Drosophila melanogaster: one gene and its partner. The protein of the gene in region 1 purifies or fractionates together with the protein of each later gene. This does not show direct contact. Each region holds a gene or a part of one and is shown on either strand. Other genes may lie near its edges. The genes, in order: COX4 and levy.

Evidence for each region.
Region 2: the proteins of COX4 (region 1) and levy fractionate together in Drosophila melanogaster (co-fractionation; one study listed by BioGRID). This does not show direct contact.

The regions. Positions count from the first base shown.
Region 1 is NT_033779.5:19,953,056-19,963,509, reverse strand, and holds COX4 (cytochrome c oxidase subunit 4), read right to left. Parts: upstream 4,798-10,454; 5' UTR 4,742-4,797; intron 4,679-4,741; exon of another isoform or gene 4,244-4,678; 5' UTR 4,231-4,243; coding exon 3,819-4,230; intron 3,760-3,818; coding exon 3,623-3,759; 3' UTR 3,445-3,622; downstream 1-3,444. Other genes in the region: CG16772 (uncharacterized protein), read right to left, coding at 1-684, 756-785; CG13965 (uncharacterized protein), read left to right, coding at 1,212-1,235, 1,296-1,673; CG42866 (uncharacterized protein), read left to right, coding at 1,848-1,871, 1,931-2,071; CG34051 (uncharacterized protein), read left to right, coding at 2,484-2,656, 2,729-2,851, 2,917-3,105, 3,160-3,346; sick (sickie), read right to left, coding at 6,058-6,177, 6,239-6,718, 6,784-7,039, 7,111-8,957.
Region 2 is NT_033778.4:23,546,297-23,556,048, reverse strand, and holds levy (levy), read right to left. Parts: upstream 7,811-9,752; 5' UTR 7,760-7,810; coding exon 7,663-7,759; intron 7,512-7,662; coding exon 7,279-7,511; 3' UTR 7,067-7,278; downstream 1-7,066. Other genes in the region: Rrp4, read left to right, coding at 1-357, 421-870; Dcp-1 (death caspase-1), read right to left, coding at 2,869-3,125, 3,186-3,748, 4,175-4,326; pita, read left to right, coding at 1,633-1,794, 5,013-6,101, 6,158-6,958; wmd (wing morphogenesis defect), read left to right, coding at 8,439-8,559.

The DNA of each region.
Region 1 (10,454 bases):
TCCGAAACCGGGACTGGGAGGTCCGTATCCTGGGAAGCTGGGCCAGTTACGAGGCTGAGGGAACACCTGGGGTTGGTAGGGCGAGTACGGTGATCTGAAGGTCGGATAGGAGGGATATCCAGACAGCTCCGGCGATTCCTTGTCCGCATCTTTGGCAGTGGGCGGTGTGGTCGATGGAGGAGTAAGCTTAGGTCCCGCGGCAGAGAATATCACTCCTGGATGGGGGTAGGGATACTGAATGGGGTAGGGATAGGGGTGAGGATGCGGATAAGAATGGGGATGAAAGTGGGGCTCATGCTTATGGGGCTTTGGCGTTGTGGTGGTGGTCGTCGTAGGGGTCGTGGTTTCCGGTTCCGGAGTGGTGGACTCTGGAAGCGCAGATCCATCATTGTTTTGTTGCAAGCCATCATCCAGTTGACCCAGTCCGTCATCGGGAGCAGCGGTGGCCTCACCCTCCTGCTCTATTGCGGGCTTCGTGGTGGTTTCTGGCTTTGGAGTTGTGGTTTCCGGCTCGGGAGTGGTGGTGGTCACCTTCTTGTGGGGATGATGAGGCTGATATTGGGGGGGCAGGTGGGGCTCCGGCAGATGCGTATCATCGGTAGTCTCCTCTTCGCTGTAAAGCGAGGCATCGATTTGCTTTTTAGCCTCGTCGAGCGACAACTGAGCGTAACTCAGCGCCAGCAGCTAGAATTAAAATGTATGTTAAGTTAATCATAGTTCGAGCCATTTTGTCCTGGCCAAGATCTGGCACCAACCTGGCTAATTAGAAGCAACTTGATGAACATCCCAACCGACTGAGTTCAACTAGCAAGGGCCAAGCGAAAACTGATTGTTCTCTGCCGGCCATAGCTGACTTATATAGCTCCAGAATCGCCCACCATTATGGAAATCGGTAAGCCAACAATTACAGACAGCCCCAGAGCAATCAGCTCTCTATCTCTCTCGAAAAACCCGATTGGCATCAGGTGTTGGATGCGTCTGCCGGAATTTCCCGGACTGCGTTCGCAAATTAAAGATCGCCATCTATCAGTTGGTCACTAAGAGAATTAGTTCTGCCCGCAGAACCAGGCAGCGATTCCCGCAATCAATTTAGAACTGCTCCAATCGATTCCACCTGCGCAGCGACTATAAAAGGTGGCTTTGCCCAGTCGGCGCTTCTGGTTTCGACGCAGTATAGGTACACATACTATGTGTCAGGTGTGACGATAGGCATGGCGAAACTTGAACTGAAGCTGGTGAGTGCCAATGGGGCATTCCCTCATTATTGCACATAATCGAACGTTTCTTTGTTCTAGATTGGAATCGCTATATTCTTGGTAGCCGCGCTCGAGGCTCAGGAAACCCCTGCGGCTGAATCATCTCCAGCGTCCCCAACAGATGGCGAAACGTCTCCAGTTACAGAAGCCAGTTCCATCGGAGAATTAACTCAGACCACAGAAGCGGGGTCGGAGGTCACAGAATCACCAACAAATAGCACCGATATGGTTAATAGCACGGACAACCCAGACCCGAACGGCTCGCCTGACCCTGAAAATGGAGGAGATCCATTTGTGAAGCCAGGAAGCCATATAAAGGGACCTCGACACGTTAGAGCACATGATGGCTTCCACAGCCTGAAGACGGAGAAGCATTGGGCAAGCTGGAACGATGCCTTTACCACGCCACGTCCCTAGCTCATATGTATATCCCATTATACCCTTTCGTTTTGTGACCAATCTCTGAAGATTATTGAATAAAAAACTAAATAATTTTAATATATTCCGTCGAAATTCGGGAACACCCTATGTGGTTTTACCAAGAACTTCACAGATGACGAATTGAATTAGTCGCCAGTCTATTGTTTCCCAATGCGGTTGATTTTTTTCTGCTTGGTAAGTAGAGATAAAGAAATAGTAACATTTTTATCGTATATATTATATTTTCACATCAGTGCCTCTTTTTGTCCCTGGAGCTAGTAGTGCCCAGACATGTCGTGGGCCACGATGGATACCACAACATCGAGAAGGAAAAGCGCTGGAAAAACTGGCCAGCACGTGTGAGGCACCACCATAAACAACGTAACTCCATCTGATGTCCGACAAGGTTGGGATTGCACGCGATTACTTATGGCCCGTTGCAAAGTCGTTCACAGGGCCATAATGCCTCGGATCTCGCCAGACAATGGGAAGCGGAAGCCTTGTTCATCATATCAATGGATCACTGCTTAATTGAACATTTCCACTGTTCGAATGTGTAAATAATAAATTGAATCGCATTAATTGTTGCTATCCAAGCGATATACATTTCAAATGAGGAGAAATGGATTTTATAAATATAAATTGACCCTTTCTTTAGAATGAGTAACCCCCTTTTAAAAATATGTTGTTTTTTTTTCTATTTTGAGATAAGTGACTAATGGGAAATCGATTGGTTCCATAATACATCTCAGCCCACTTAATTGTGATTTAACGTATAAGTAATTTGTCACTCCACAAACTACAGCCATGGGACCAAGGCTCTATCCCGCTGCGATCCTCATCCTCCATTGCCTGCTGTTGCTCTTCCTCCAGGTGGACAGCAGAGGTAACCAGAACCACACCCAGATGGAAAGACAGCGTCATCTCCGAGCACACAATCTGCACAGGCCTCCATACGATGGATACGATTGGCACAAACAGTAAGATACAGATTCGATCGAGCTGAAGGATATATACACTTTCGAATGGCACCAACCTTTCGCTTTCAATAGCTTTAACCGAGATGCCGAACCAAAGGCGACAGTTGCAAAGGAGAAAGAAGAGAAGACTTTCAAACACAGATCAGGACATTTAAAAAAGATGAAGCAGACAGCTAGGGATATTTCGAACTGGAGGTAGGTGCATCATCTGCATCAAGTATGAATGCTCTGAGATCAAGGAATGCCTGACTTCTTTTCAGCAGAGCTCGGAGCGCCTACCAAAAAGAGACGGCAGAGCTGGAGGAATGGGGTCGAAAGAAGAATATAACTGACAACGAACTGAAGTTATTCTTTGACGGTGAAATTTCTACCAAAGACAAGTACAGATTATTTGGGGACATTCAAACGGTTGTCCAGATCCTGAAAGAGGTGATAAAAAAGGGAGCTGTGTAAGTAGTGTTCGCCTATATGTCTGGCAATGCCTTTGAAATCCGCCTTTTTAGGACCGAAAAAGAGAAAGCAATGATAACGCCGGAACTGAAACCATTGATCTTAAGATTCGGCCGCATGTTTGAAAGGGAATTTGCCAAGAACACAAATGCCTTGGAAGCCTTGCAGATCCTTGTTCATGAGGTTCAAAAATCGAACAGCCGGAACATGAGACATAAGAGTGCTAAAAGGTCTCACTAAGTGGTAATTAAATTGGCTATGCCTGTGGCGATTTTAGTAACGAAAAGTTTGTAATCTACACACTAAAAGGTCTGTTAATAAATCGAATAACAATCATTGCTCTTAAAACGGATCATTGAGGCTGGTTTCCTAGCAGAAACTGATGACTGACCCAAGATCGATTGATTTAGGCAGCAGCCATAACTTTAATTTCGACTATCTTGCTTTTACTTAATACACATAGACGTCGGCTAACTTAATCACACACAATCGCGGAATTATTTAACGACAGCGCACTTAGTTCTTCCACTTCTTGTTCTCGTAGTCCCACTTGGAGGTCAATCCGGTGACGGGGTTGATTTCCAGGTCGATGATGCGCTGCAGCTGCGCCTTCTGGTGCTCCTCATCGAAGGTAACGGGCAGCTCATCGTACACTGAAAGGAAAATGCTCAATAATGGATAGCCGCAAAAGGGAACCGGAAAAATGGCTTACCGAAGATGTTCATCAGTACGGCCACCCAGATGGCGGCGGCGCAGAAGAGGAGTGAAACGCCCAGGTGGAGCTTCCACTCCCCGGATCCAGCCTGGACCTCGGCGATAGTCTGGCAGAAGCTGGCGCGGTACAGGGCCTTGATCTCCTGGGTGCTGAGCTTCTTCCAGTCTCCCTGCTCCTTGGCGCGCAGAGCGTTGATCTCGTTGGTGGGCTCACGGAAGCGCACGGCGGGCAGAGGGTAGTCCACGCGATCCGCGTAGCAGGCGGTGCCGTTCCAGCCGTAGCCAACGATCTCCCGCTTGCCGATCTTGTCCAGTGTGTGGACGGCGGCCACGCTGCCCACCTGGGCACTCTTGGGCAGCTGAGAGGCCAGCTGGCGGAGCACAGCACTGTTGAGTAGTCGCAGGGCCATTTTCTCACAGAGTCTGCAAGGTAGTAAAATGAATATCAATTTATGAGGTATCAGCAGAGGAACATAGGGTCTTGGACCCGCGATAGCCAAATTTCCCACCCGACCAGGCGGTCATCCGTGAATTCTAACGGGTTACGAATTCACCGATATATGGTGCCCACTTAGTTGGAGGTTATGTAACAGCTAGCAGAACTACGTGCCAAGTTATAGAATCTATTTCCATAAAAATCGCATTGTTTTGAGGTTCCTCTACGCCTGTCGCCATATATTTATCCCGATTTCGTGCTGTGTTTGGCATAATATCCGCATAATTCTCCCATTTTTCACAGCCATCACAGATGTTGTGTAATCGGTGGGCGGTTGCATCTACCGGAAAACGGCTTATAAACCGGTGGCAACTGGTTTTCCAATTTATGTCGGCTTGCTTATCCCGCTCGTTGTATTCAATAGCTTTGTGGTCGCAGGTACTTGATATTTTTCGCAATTAATACAATTTTTAAAGCACTTTTACCTACTTTTCTTAGACTTGCTGAACAATGTGACCAGAGGGAATATACAAAACAAAATATATATATGGATGGGTAATTATTGCTCGATATTTTGGTATTTTCATGCAGAGAAGTGTGACCACATCTCGAATGAAAAAATATAAATATTAATATATCGATATATTCAATCGCTAGCAATCGGAATTCGGCGGGGTATTTAAATCTAAATATATTAAAATAAAGAAACAGCAAATAAGGGCAACTATTATGTTTTATTTTATTTCGCAGCATGGTGAAATATTTGGTTTGGTATTTCACATTCTTTTTGTAGTCTGTCCGCGAGAAGAGAAACAACAACAAAACAATTATTGTTCGATATTATATTTTATTTTGATTTGATGTCATATCTCATAAATGCACACATTTAAATTAGACAGAGACACATAATTTGCTTTATCGTATCATATAGTTTGCTGCTTGAGTTTGTATTACATAAGATTATCTTTCGATAGGGATCTGGAGTTCGGAAATTTAGCTATTTTATCGAGGATGGGGCATTACGTATTCACTTTCGCGTATTCCTGTGTTTAAGCGCCGCTTGGCATAATAAATATGTTAATGGTATTTTGCTTTATTGGGCTTTATAAATATGCAATATGTTTGTAACAATATTTAATGATAATTACGCAAATAATTAAACTAAAGTGAAAGCTTTTTCCTTCAACTATACATCTTGTAAATTGGTAGTAGCAAAAACTTATAGCTACATTTACAGTAGAGTTAGGTATTAGTTGCGATTTAATTCATATGATCCGCCGACTCTGGGCTGGGATAAAGGGTATAAAAAGTCTAGACCGTCGGTCAGATTCACACTTAAGCATAGGGGGGACTTGGGGTTAGTTTTCATCTATATGTACAAAAATGAATTCACTCGTCTTATCTCTGTAACATTTCATGTTAGTGAAGTTTCCTTTTCTCAAGATTTGGGTTTTTCGGAAACGCAGCCGGGGTCCTTGCTTTTTGGGATGGTAGTGCTTCGTTATCAGGTTCAGTTTGTGGCTAGGACAATTTGCATTTTTAACAAGTGCGCTAAAAAGTGCAATTTACTCTAGATGGCAGGGAGTGGCTAGAAACGATGATTGGAAAGGTTGGTGACGTGGTGCAAATGGAAAACTCTTGGAACTGCTTTTGAACCTCGCTGCGAAAGTAGTGCAAGAAGTCTCATTTGTGCGGGGGCAAGGATATCTTGGGTGCATATCTTGGACCCTCAGCTGGCGTACTCCTCTCAGTTAGTTCATCTAAATTTGGCATGTACGAAGTGGTTGGTTTCTATAGCTGTTCACTCGGCTCCAGCGGAACTTTCGGGCGTAACATTCGAGTCCAGGCTGGCACAATCGGACTCCTGATCCTGGGCCTCCGAGTAGTTGGCCGCCTCCTGCAGGCGCATCAGCATGTTGAGCTGTTGACGAAACGCCTCATTAGTTGAAAATCAAAGGAGCAATATTAGTCCTGTATCTTACCAAGGGATCCTGTTGGTCACCGTTGGTTAGGGCCACGCCTTCGAGTCCCACATCCTCGGCATTGATTTGCCGTAGTGGAGGCACTGAGTCCGGACCGTATGGCCACGGATAGGAGTTCCTAATGAAGGCGGAGGGGTCGTTCCAGGCACCTCCTCGTCGTCCATAGAGCTGAACTCCCTCGCGCACCGCCTCCACCAAGTATGGCGAGAGGTGGTAGTTCCAGATGTCGGTGAACCACACCTGCGAGTCCTTCAGGTCCATTGGGCAGGCGAGGAATAGCCTCGGCCCAATGGTTACATCACTGGAGCTGTGCACCTCCAGGAATCGGTTGATGTGCTGCCAAACGGAGGGCAACCAGGCCAGCACTGCCGCCAGCTCCGGCTGCGGATGTTGCGTCTGCAGTTCCAGCTGGAAGAGTCGACGCCTCAGGAAGCGACCCAGAAAGCCTTTCACGGGCTCCATGTGATTAGCTGTGAGCACCTGTGAGCAAGTGATAAAGCAAATATGTAATGATCCAATTTGTAAGGTCCATCATCAAAACATACCCATCGGAAATTGTGGTGCAGCTGCAGGTTGGTGGTGTTGCAAGTGGCCTGTGACATGGTGCCAATGATGCAGGGCAGCTTGTTGGCGGGCCCAGCGCTCAGGAGACAGGAGAAGACGTCGCCCAAGGCGGAGGCGTGGTGCAGGTTGTCCAAAATAATCACAGAGGGAAGCTCGGAGACTCCATTGGCAATGGCAGCCTGCTCGGCAATGTGGCCCAGATACTGTCGCAGATCCTTCGAGGACTTGTGGTCAACACTAAGGGAAAATGGAAATGGAGGAGAAATAGTTATCAATCTGGAATAGATAGTGTTCTCTTTTAGACTTACTTGAATGTGGCAATGGCCTCCGAAGGATTGCCCCTGGCAGAGCGGGCTACCAGGAACTCGGCTAGTCGACGGGCCAGATAGGACTTTCCAGTGCCGCTGGGTCCGCACAGAATCAGACGTCGGTGCTCCGTGAGCAGGCTGATGTATCGATGGACAATGCTGCGCGGAATAAGGCTGTCGAAAGCCAAACTTCCCACACCCTGGAGGCAAATGTATAGGGTCCTCACGCTGCCCACTATGTAACCACAGGGCAGGAGTTCCGGGAATCCCATCTCGGGACCCCGTTTCGCCTCTCCTAGGTGGTACGAGGTAATGGAGTCCGTGTTGAGACCCAGATTGGTGCCCGGATCAATGCGCGCCACGTAGTCCTTGAAGGTCTTGCGCACCACGTAGTCCAGATTCTGCCACGTCGTCTTGCCGGATATATAGGTGCAGGCTATGACGAACTCGTTGCAGCTGGCGCTGGTATAGTTGGACTTCCTCTCGCTTTGGGATTGGCTATCCGCCTCGTGGCCATTGGCATAGAAGCCATCGAGCTCCTGCAGCTCCTCACAGTACTTGGCAAACGCCTCTGGCTGACCCAGATAACAGGCAATGGCTATCTTCTTGCCATCGCACACATCGGCCAACTCCTCCGTGGCACTGGCCATGTGCACCGGACTGGCCATAGGAGCCGCCTCCAAGGCAGGAGGCGGTGGCGTTAGGTCTACGTGGGTACTGGGACTAAGGGGTGCCACACTGACGCCATTGGGGGCCGGTGGTGGTGGTTGTTCGGGGGCCGGGGCAGGTGGCAAACAGTCCTCCTCCAGTTCAAGTTCTTCACTAAGTCGAGCTGGGAGTTCCATGGGTGGGCGACTGTTGCTGTCGGCGAGGGAGTAGCGCCTCGACACCTCAGAGCTTCCAGCCACTGATCCATTGGGACTGATGGCCTGGCCCAAGCTGGCCTCCGAACCAGCCAAGGATCGCGTGGTCACCAGCTTCTGGAGACGCTCATTGTTGTGCTTCAGGGACATCATCTCCGCCCGCATCTTGTTCATCATCTCCTTGAGGCTCTCCAACTGGGAGGCCGAGCTCAAGGCCTCCAGGCGAATATCGGTCAGGACGAGATCCTTTTCGCGCAGCTGCTTCTTGAGGTCCTCGACCACATGCTGATCCTCCTGGTCAATGGCATCGATGGGCTTGGCATTGTCTATGAGGGTGACGGTCTTGGCGGGACTGCTCTGCTTGCTATTCGGCAGGGGAGGAGCAGGTTGAGTGGCCAACGAGGCCAGTCCCAAGGGTTCACCGTGACCATTGTGCAGGGGAAGTTTCCCAGAGGCCAACTCTTGCTGCGAGTGGTTGTGATGATGATGGTGACCCACATGACGACTCGTCTTGGAGATCTTGGCATTGCGGGAAAAGGCCTTGGTGAAGCTGCTCCGCAGCCAGCCCTTCTTCTTGTTGGCCTTGTTCTTGTCCTGGGCCGCCGAGCAGCCCGAGCTGATGGAGTTCAGCGAGCACATGGAGTCGGTGCTGTGCTGGCGCTGCATTCCCAGTGGCATGGATCCATTGTTGGCATTGATGGCGCGTTGGGAACCCGAGTTCGGTGGCTTCTGATCCGAACCCGGCTGACCCAGCGCCTGACCCAGCGCCTGACCCTGAACCTGACCTTGACCCTGGGTCTGGACGCCCATGCTCTGCATGTGCGCCGTGGTCAGTCCCGCCTGGATGGACTGCTTCCTCAGCAGCTCGATGGTCTGCCGCATGTCCGTCAGCTCGCCGTCCTTTCGCTCCGCCGTCGCCGTCAACTGATGCAGTCGGTTGGTCATGTTGGACAACGACTGCTCGAAGGCGGTGACCACATGGGCCTGCAAGAAAGAAGATGAGAGGAGCGATTAGTTTGAGGTGGGTATGGATATGGGTATGGGTATGGGCTTAGGCCAGGTCTCTACAATCCATCATCGCTCGTTTTGAGCACATCTCGATCGTGCCTCGCATTCTGAGGCCGGGTGTCGCTGCTTGGCATGCATGGCATTGCACCCGCAACTTGCAACTCAACCCGGCCACATGACTCACGCACAATAAGCCGGGCCCAAAGCCGGGCTTTAAGAACTTTTGAAAACTTCTGTTCCTTCATAGAAAGACGTGCACTTAGAGAATGTATCACCGAAGTTGTTCAGTTATTTTCGAGTCTATTTTAAATTTTTAAAAAGGTTGTCTTTTGAACAGATAAAAATTTTTCTTTAGATTACTAAATAATTAAAGAGTAAGTTATTCCAGCTATAGTTTTAGGTTGCTTCTCTAATACTAATTATACGGCCGTGTGAATTCGAGAACCTGTGCTATTCTTGTGCTTTGTTATGTCAGCATTTGCCATCGTTGCTTATTTTTTATGAGCCGACGTGACTGGTCACATACATACATATATCAGGAGAATATATATATATTTCTGCATCAAGTTGATGGGTGTCATTAGGGAAACTCAGAGAAGAAAACTGGTGAGTCAGAGCGGATGTTGTAATTGCCAAGGAAGTTGTGAGGAAGCAGCGCAATCTTTTCGTTTTGCTGGCAGAAATGCTCGTAAAGTAATTTAGCATTTGTAGTAATATTAAATTGGGCGACATGGCGGGTGTTTTAATGCGCCAGACTAATTAAATTATAAATTGGCAAACGTGATCACAACAAGTGTACAGCCCACCCGCGCGCATTACAATCAGCACGATTTGCATTAAAAAACCACGTAGAAACCCTTTCAACTTTCTCCGCTTCGGCATATTTGGGAAAGGGCTCATCGTTTGGCTGCCAACTCACGTATGTGGCAAGCATAAAAATTGATTACGGTGCGTATGAGTAACGTGACACGCAGTACGAGGCGGCAGCCGCAGGAGCACATCCTTTCGTTTCCGCCGACAATTAAAACGATTAAAGAGCCATTTTCCTTTGAGTGGGTGATAAAGTGGAAAGTGCCAGTGATTTCATTCGAGAGCAGCCCCCTGAAAGTCAGCTTCGCCCATAAAACTTTGCCTCACTCCGACCTTGAACTTAAAAACCTTTGGGGGAGTGTTCATCTACTGATGATGAATATCCGTTTAAAAATGCAGCTCTATAGAGCGTGCCATCGCAATTTGCATAAATGAGTGGCTAATTAAATAGCGAAACGTGCTAGATGGATATCAGCGAACAAGTGGGAAATCGGGGTATAGTCTGAAATACAGATTAGCGGCAATTCTAGCAAATATATTTTGCTGTAATACGTATGGCTCTCTGTCTATTTGTTTTTCATTTTTCCAATAGCCAATCATTGCGATGAGGTCATTCCTATGTCCAGCCAACTAACTTGCCGCATGCCAATGCTAATGTTGGTT
Region 2 (9,752 bases), on another chromosome or scaffold:
ACGCCGGGGGAAGTGCTGATGCCGGAGGCGGGATTCATGCGCGGCCACGGAACCTTCGTCGAGGACGAGAACATCAAGTCCTCGGTGGCCGGGGTGATCCAGAAGGTCAACAAGCTGATCTCGGTGCGCCCGCTTAAGAGTCGCTATGTGGGCGAGATCGGGGACGTGGTGGTGGCCCGCGTCAGCGAGGTGCAACAGAAGCGCTGGCGAGTGGACACCAATTCCCGGCTCGACTCCATCCTACTGCTCTCCTCGGTGAATCTGCCAGGCGGAGAACTACGACGGAGATCGGCGGAGGACGAGCAGATGATGCGACGATACTTGGACGAGGGCGATCTCATCTCTGCCGAGGTCCAGGTGGGTACTTCCTAACTTGCTGGTACTGGAGTAACTATATAATCTTTCTTCTCTGGCCACCAGAACATCTTTGAGGAGGGCTCCCTTTCGCTGTACACGCGCAGTTTGAAGTATGGAAAACTATCGCAGGGCATCCTGGTCAAGGTGTTCCCCGCTCTCGTCAAGCGCCGCAAGATGCACTTCCACAACCTGCCCTGCGGCGCCTCCGTGATCCTGGGCAACAATGGCTACATCTGGATATCGCCGACCAAGGGCCAGGAGGAGGAAGGCGGCGAGGGAGGATTCGCTCAGAACCTGAACGAGCATGTGCCGCGCGCGGATCGGGAGGTGATCGCCCGGCTGAGGAACTCCATCCTCGCGCTGGCCAAGTGCAAGCTGATGATTTACGACACCAGCATCCAGTACGCCTACGAGGAGTCCCTGCGCTACGAGGCCCACGAGCTGCTCCAGCAGAACGCCATCTACGACATCGGCCAGCAGACGCAGGCTCGTCTGAGGGACGCGGACGAGTAGTATATATGCATATACATATATTTTATACACAAGTAGCTTAAATAGAGGTTAATGTATTTTCTACCGTCAAATGAAAAATTAACATTTCAATGGGTTCGAAATTGGTGGATTTCAAAATTGCATCAGTGGGCTAAAATCTTAAATACACTGAAAACTATCGCAAGCTTTCTGTTTAATAAAAATGTTCATTTGATATTTCCTGAATTTGTATGATAAATGTTGGTTTCCTAATAAAAAGTCAGGTTTTCTAAAATACACAAACTCTTTAAAAAAGAAAACATTTATTGCATATAAGTTAGGTTTTATTGGCGTTTAAAAAATACATACATTTTCATAGCACTTTAGTTTTAGTTAAAAGTTTCGACTTAAAATTACTTTTAGTTAAAAAGCAGCTAAAATATCGATATTTTACCAGGACGCGCACCGAGTGGCAGCACACATTAGCGATCCGGCAACGCCCTGGCGGTTTGTGCAAATGAAAAGTGATTCTGCCTGGATGATAAAGGGACTCGGCATAAATTTTTTATTTTTATGTCATCCCATATTAGTGTGACGTTGTATTTGTGACAAATACTTGATTGTGTAAAATAAAAACAAAAAGTTTCGCTAGCAAAATTCACACAGAAACATCGATATCTGCATAGTGCACATCTCTAAGCGACGCCAAGCGATTGTTTTCCTCTCATTTGTAATCTGTACGCACTTTGCAAGTGAAATTCCGCGTTTCTACCGCCGCCCGGAACGAATTACCGCCAATTGCCGATGGCCGCGAAACTGGAGGTGCGCGAGGCCATGCTGACCGAGAAGAGGGTCTGCCGCTTCTGTCTGACCGAGCAGAAGCTGGCCTCGATTTTCGAGGAGAATCCGCGGGTGAAAACAACCGCCAATCTGCCGCTGCAGATTATGGCCATCACGGCGATCGAGGTAAGCGGCTCCATCCATGGGTTCTGGCTTGCACTAACCAGCGCCACGCATAACTTGGCTAAGAAGCCGCATCGCGGGTTTCCGCATCGACTGCGAGGCGTCTTGGCTAAGTTTCCCCGCTCCAAACTGCCCCGCTTCCCTTTCCCAGCCGAATGTCCTTGAAAAGTGCGACCAGGTTACAGCCCAATTAGTTGGCTAATCATTGGGCTTTCCCTTTTTCCTCTTGTGCAAAGAAAAATGAAAATTTCTGCGATTTGGGGCAACTGTACTGCGCCACACGCACACTAGTGCGTCAACAGCTGATCGCCCTGACAGCTGTCAGTTGTTTTTGGCGCTAAATTCAAATCGAGATCATATTTAAATGCATTAATAGTTCCTTCGATACTTATATTTACGCAAAAATCATCATTTGGTTAATTTTATTAATTTCCTAAATTATAAAATTAGGAAATAAATATAAAATTTAGGAAATTAATAAAATTAGAGTGAGAAAAATCTTAATTAATCACTCTTAATAATGCTAATTTGAATTCCACTAAAGTTTCGTACAATTTCACTGATTCAGCCAACCAAGTCTTCATTGTTATCTTTTATTTCCCATATCAACGTACTCAATCTGGCCCAGACAGCTCCTGTCTTCAAACAAAGTTGCTTAGATCGAAATTACCCATCTACGTTCAATTGGGGAGATACCTTGCTATGTTTTTAATTCATTTTTATTCATATCAAATATAAATGTTTGCGTGTACATAAAAGTATGTATGTATGTATAAATCTTCATTGTATTATCTTATCTCAAATTTGTGGGTTTTCTATTGGCAAGGTCTCGCTTATGCATACGGAAGTCATCTAGTGGGTAAATGGGTAACGAATTTCGTCAATGATAAGGCCGAAATGGGCATGGGAAAGGCAGGGGAATGAATGAAAGGGAGTCGGGTGCTTCAATATCCATCGGGATAATCGCACGCGTCAGCTAAAACTAAACTTGAAGTGAATTGGAATCCAACGTGAATGATTGCGGGCGATGGTTGTACAACCTCTGTTGAAAGTTCTTCTTCGAAGGGAGATCTCTTCCTAGCCAGCCTTATTGCCGTTCGGCTTGTCGCCGAAGCGCAGTATGCGCGTCAGCATGGAGGTGAGGCACGGTATTTGCTTCTGGCGATCCATCATCGGTGTGGCGGGCACGTTCGACTCAAAGTCTAGGGCTACGCGCTGGTTAACGAATGTAAGCAGGGTGAGCAGGTCGTACTTTTTGCCATTGGCGTTCAGCTCGCGGATCAGCGATTGCATGTACCAGGAGCCATTGTTGATGTTGCGCCAGGAGAAGTAGCCTAACAGGACGAGATTGCTAGTGAAATTCACTAAAATAGTTACCTAATCATATTCCTTACCCGGAATGGTCGAGTAGGAGAAGAGAAAGTCGGCGTGTATGGGTATCTTGTAGCTCGTCGAGGACTCCCCGTCCGTCTCGGTAACGCCCTTCTCCAGAGTGATGCCTCCGTCCAAGCGATCGCCCTGGCAGGCTTGGATGAAGAACAGCTTCGGCTTGCCCGCCAGCGAGGGGCAGAAGGTGGCAGTGAAGTAGTGCCAGATGTTGTCCAGCTTGTACTGCGTATCCTTGGCGTACAGGTAGCCGTGCTCCCCGTGCGAGAGTATGGCCACCGCAAGGCAGTCGTTGTCCGTGTGGTCCAACTCGGCGGCCTTCCCCACGTGCTTCAGGATGTCCCTCAACTTGCAGTCCTTGTGCACGGACACCGCGAATCCCAGGTTTTCAAAGGCCTTTTTCAGCTCTTGGGCATCGACATTTGTTCCGGTGCGGCTCTTCAGCGAGGGTATGTCGAAGAATTCGTGGTTGAAGATCAGCGCAACTCCGCGGTGCTTGTGACTCATGTTGTATTCGCTTGCATATCGTTCCACGGGCATTCGAGCCACAAACTTGTTGGCCGGCAAGGGGCTGGGGAAAAAGAAATCAGAATTATAATAGCCATTTGGGAAGCAGCATGATAAGATAAGGTAATCGGCGAAATAATCGATGATTGGGTATTTATTTATGTAATTATTTTCAAATATATTTGTGAATAAGACTAAATAGAACAATAGAATTAAAGTCAAGTGCTTTCAAACTTTGTGACTTCAGCCATTTTAACAACATTATAAAGACAGATTGACACATTGATTTTAAATGTTGGCAATAGACAGTATAAATAATATAAAAATAATAGATTGTGGAATGAAAATGGAATAAATAAAAAAAAAAGAGCTTTATATGCTGCATTTGAAACTAGGATATAGCAGTTATGCCAGTACTTGCATTGATAACAAAACACAGAAACATAAAGAGAGAGATGGGAGAGGGAGAGAGCGAGGCACATGGACTCACCTCGCTGCAGTTGCACCACCAACAACAAGAGACTCCGGCGTACAGCCCTTGGCATCGGTATTATCAGCCATTATAAAGCTGCCCCGATTTTCCGATCCATTTGGGCTGCGAATGCCTACTCCGTAGTTTCTGGTTACGCACTCGTCGGTCATCTTGCGCCCCTTTTCTTGCTTAAGTTCTTGTTTTGATTGTTTGCGTTTCTCCTTGTGTTTCCTCTTGCCTTTTGTTCGCTCCCTCCTGCTCCTCCCTCGCTCACGCGCTGCTCTTTCCTTCCTTTTCTCTCTCCGCAGTTGTTGCGCCCTTTTTGGTCTGATTCTTGTTTTATTCTGACACTGCTTCTGTTTTCTATTGCTCTGCGTTGGCCAAACTTTGCGCAGCGCAGCTGTTTTGCGCTTCTCAGCCAGCTTTTGTCGGCTTTCGATCGAGCGAATGTCCTTTTATGGCTCACAGTCGGACGTGTTTAATCAATCAATTAACGGAGGTTAAGCGTGCTCTGAGCGGCGAAAACAAACTGCGATTGCATGTAGTCGTGTGTATGCACTTGCCGCCAAGCGGCGATGGCCGCTCGTCGATAGCACTAATCATCGATTGGTGGCCATCGATTAATTTGTAGAGGGTGTTCTGGTCCTCGGCGCCTTTGTTTAAATTTAAACTCTAACATTATATTGTTCATTTTAAGGGAAAGAGACATTTATGGCGTTTAATTTATTATGTAGCGAAAAACATATAGGGGTGTTCCACGAATATTACCTTATTATTTGGCTTAAGCACGGACTTCCCCGAATAAATGTAGCTTCCTAGTCACTCACACATTTATCTAATCTAACATTAAAAACAGGTCTACGCCGGCGACGGAATGCCGGGGCACATCTGTCTGGAGTGCCGCCTCCTCTTCGAGCACTGCTACCGCTTCAAGCAGATGTGCAAGCGGGCGGAGACCCTCCTGCGCCAGTATCCGCTCACGGGTAACTGGCCATCGCCGCTGGAGAAGCCCCGTGCGCCCATGACGATGGTGGCTTCCAAGAAGTTGTTGGTCGTGCCAGCAAAGACAGCCGAGCCAAGCGAAACGCCCAAAAAGCTGCTGAACACAATGGCCAAATCCAGTAGTCAGGTGATCATCGAGGACGTCCAGGTGCTGGAGAGCGCCATGGTGACCCCCAGGACGGTAGCCGGTTCCTCTCCAGTGCCACGTCGTTCGCACGCCTATGAGCTGAAGGTGGATAACAACCAGGAGCTGTCCATGGACGATGTGCAGAGCATGCTGGAGGATATGGCCAGTGAGCTAGAGAAGGAGTTCCCCGATATCCCCCAGAAGGCATCACCCGTCAAGCCGAAGGTGCTGAACAAGTCCTCGATTAGGATCTTGAACAAGGGACCCGCCGCTCCGGTGGAACCGCGCCTGGCCACACCCAAAGTCAAGCGAGATGATAGTGGCAATGTGGCCATAGTGACAGAGGTTCTGGACTCGGATCTGCCATTGGACGATCAAGATGATCCGACCAAGAACGCCGAGAAGGTGGCCACCGATGTGTTCCCCTGTCCCGATTGCGAACGCTCCTTTCCGCTGCAGCAGCTGCTCGAGATCCATCGGCTGAATCACACTCGCTCGCGCAGCTTCCAGTGTCTCCTGTGCGAGAAGAGCTTCTTCTCCAAGTACGACCTGGCCAAGCACAACTTTGTGCACACCGGCGAGCGGCCATTCAAGTGCGCCATCTGCTCGAAAGCCTTCACACGGAAGGCATTGCTCCATCGCCACGAGCGCACCCACACGGACGTACCCAAGTTCATCTGCGTGTACTGCGAGAAGCCCTTCCTTTCGCGCCAGGAGATGGAGAAGCACGCCGAGCGACATCAGAAGAAGCGTCCGTTCCAATGCGGTGTCTGCACCAAGTCGTTTGCCTTCAAGCAGGGATTGGAGCGTCATGAGGTGGGTTGACAAGCATATTTGGGATTGCCCCGGCTAACGATTATGTCCACTTTCAGACAGTCCACTCCACCAATCTTCCCTTCCCCTGTCAGCATTGCGAGAGAAGCTTTTCCACCGCTTCCAAGCTGGCCCGCCACCTGGTTGCCCACGCCGGGAAGAGAGCCTATCCCTGCAAGTACTGCCACAAGTCCTACATGCTGTCGCATCATCTCTCGCGCCACCTGCGCACGCACACGCAGACTTCCGACGCCTCGTTCGTGTGCAGTGAGTGCAAGGTGTCGTACAGCAACTATAACGACCTACTGGATCATGCGCTCATTCATGCCACCGCCAGCCTGAAATGTCCCATGTGTCGCAAGCAGATCGAAGATATCGACAGTGTCGAGAGCCACATGGACCAGCACAAGCAGAGCGAGCGCCATGCCTGCGAGTTCTGTGACCACATCTTCTTGACGCAGAAATGCCTGCAGCGCCACATCGAGGACGATCATGTGGTGGAAATGGAGCCGTACCAGAACGAGTTCGAAGACGACGGCGAAGGAGAAGGCGGCGTCGATGAGAAGGAGGAACATCTTGACGATTTTGAAGACATGGACAATGTGAAGCAGGAAGAATTCGTGACGGAATACTTAGAAGACGATGCTCTCTATGAGGACCACCTAGACGATAGCGACGAATCCTTCACGCCGCCGCCTCCAAAGCAGCGTAAAACCAATCCTCCCAAGGATGCCCAGCAATCCGTGCGCCAAACTCGCAGTCGGGATGCTCAAAGAATCACTCAGAAGACAGGAAAGAACGAAGGCAAGCCTCATCACAAACTGGAACGCAACCTTAAGAATCGCCGATCCGCAAAATAATGATAGTAGTTGAATATATTGCATGCGAAAAGTGCATCCGTGCTTATGCTTAAATTTAAATTCTATTTAATTGTAACTTTTAATTTTTCCTTTAACCGAAGGCCTTTTAAATAAACTCCTCACCAGAATTCCGCTGTCGCTCATTGAAATGGTCTTTATGGGATCTCTCCTCGCTCTAATTTGATCTTTATTGAAGCGCCAACTGGAGTTTGGGTATATGTGTTTTCTGTGTATTTCCGCGTAAAGTTCAGTTTACATTAACGTCTATCACTACCAAACAACGAATACATCCCGCAGAGGGAACCGGAGACGGTGGCCACCTAGTGCTCGTAGCCGTCGGGCAGGGCGTTAACGTGGGGGTTGTGGAACAGGCTCTTCTGGCCCTCACCCCAGGGGAAGCGCTTCTCGCGGCGGCGCAGGTAGTCGTACTTGACGAACTCCTGGCGGGGCTTGTCGTGCTCCTCCTGGTGCTTCAGGTAGGCGTTCAGCATGCACAGTCCCACGGCGGGCACGGCCACGAAGAAGGACAGGCGCTTCCACACCTTGTAGCCACCTGAAGGATGAGAGATGAGATGAGCATGAAAGGATGTGTTATAAGAGCGAATCCTTCTCCACCAATCGATCTTGCCCAATGGTAAATTACATAACCTTAACCTTACAAAAGGGGATGAATTTGGCAATTGGGACGCTGGACGGTCACTTACCAGAGTGCTCGCCGGCCACGGCGGCGGTGCCGGACATATTCCGGGCGGCAGAAGCGCCGAATTGGCGGCGAATTGCGTGGTTTAGAATAGCGGACATATTTTCAGTCGATTCTTGGCCCGAATGAAAATTTGCTGTTTTGACAAGTAAATAGGGATGGGCTACATCCATAATGTCGTGACTCGTTCGCTAAATTATATCGATAGTGGTTGGCCGTGATTTCTAAATTACGTACAACAAAGCTGTTAATTGGCTTAATATAAATAAAAAACAAAATAAAACAATTCTATGCCAAATTGTAAATAAGTAATTTGACATTTTTCCTTTGTATCCTCCCCTGGCTGCCGTGACACAGCTCTAGCTAATCGAGAAGTTATCGCCTCACGCGCCCACCGCTGACGATAGGTAGGTACTGTGTGTGCGGACTATCGAGGCTGGAGTCGGCTACCAATCGTCCATCCACAACAACAACGTGTCGCGTAATTATTTTCCCCTCTTGTTTATAAAATTCAGTGCATCAGATTGTAAATACACTGCACACCCTGCAAAGCCACCGCAGCATCTCGAACCTAAGCAACGAACGGGAAAATCATTATCGTACGGGCAGTGAAGCGCAGTTAACCAGGAGCAACAACCAATCCAAGTACAAAGTAGCCACAAAACGTCAGTTATTCACTAAGTGCACAGTTCGCCAGCGGACATAACGGTCGCTACACTCGGAGAAAACCACAAGTATTAAGGACCACACAGTCCACCAATCCACTAGCAGCCCACTGCCATGGCCGCCAACAACTTGCGACAAATCCCGCTGACCTGCAGTGGCCACACGCGACCCGTGGTCCACCTGGACTTCAGCGACATCTGCGACGCCGGCTACTTTCTCATCTCGGCCTGCAAAGGTAAGGTCCGCGGGATCGGGCAGCCAGTCGCATGCGATTAGCCGTCCTTGCGCGCTATTTATACACCACTTTCCGTCGTCGCACAGTGGTTGTCATAATCATACGATGGGGTTAAAATCGGAAGTGTCAGTCACTGACGAACTGGGACACAACGCAGATTCCGTAAGAATTGGATTTAACTAGTGTTTCTATATAGACAGTGTTCATTTGCAATAGTTTAATGTCTATACAGCAAGTTTCCTGGTAAAAACAGGCAGTTACTTTTGCTTATTGGTCAAATTTGTAGTATAGTTTTGTAGGAAGGGCAAATAATGTTTTACCCAGAAGGCCATGTCGAAAAACAAGTTATGTTGTCCGTGTTCTTTGACGGATCGTTATGTTCGTGGGAAAGGTGCTGCAACAGAGCGGCATGGAATCACATGAACTACAGGCGGGCCAGCACGGTGTAGCATCATGTCTAGCCTGTGGGAAACCTTGACCCAAATGCAAAGTCACTCATCGCGAGCGAAACCTGTTTTCTGCGAGTGCGAAACCCTTTTGCCTGCCGCCACTCGCATGCTACAAAACTCGCATTCTTTGCCTTGAGGTGTCAGCCAGTCGATGCGATTGCAATTGCCATGGCAGTTGCAATTCGCAATTCGTTAGCTATTGCCTGTTTTTTACAGGCACTTTGCATTCGTGGCTTTCGCAAATGTTGCTTTTATGCGGAAAGAGCGCTCGTTCCCACTGCAAGTTCAAGTTGACTTCGTTATCGCCTTTTAACGTACTCGCTTCCCCTTGTTTAGCAACTTTTCGAAACTGCTCGTTCAGGAAGCACCTTGGAACTTCTATATTTATATGCTGTGTGTATATGCAGCTGCCGTTTGTCTGCCGCCTGGAAGATTCTGCTTGCTGGATACACTCTCCCGATCCCGATCCGCTGCAATTTATTCGGATACAGCATCTAATGTGGGCTTAATTCGTGCGGTTCTCACTGCGATGAATCATTCCAAGTTTAAGGCCACAGTAATTGTATAAATTAGAATGGGAAATTACATAGTATATATTACATTATTAAGTGCTCTTGTTAGAAAACCTTTCTCTGCAAAGTTAAACTAATAGAGTTCCTATACAAAAGTGAAGTAGCAGGCAAACATTAGTAGAAGTCCTTGAAATGGCGAGAGTTGTGGGTGATCATTTATCACACACATAGA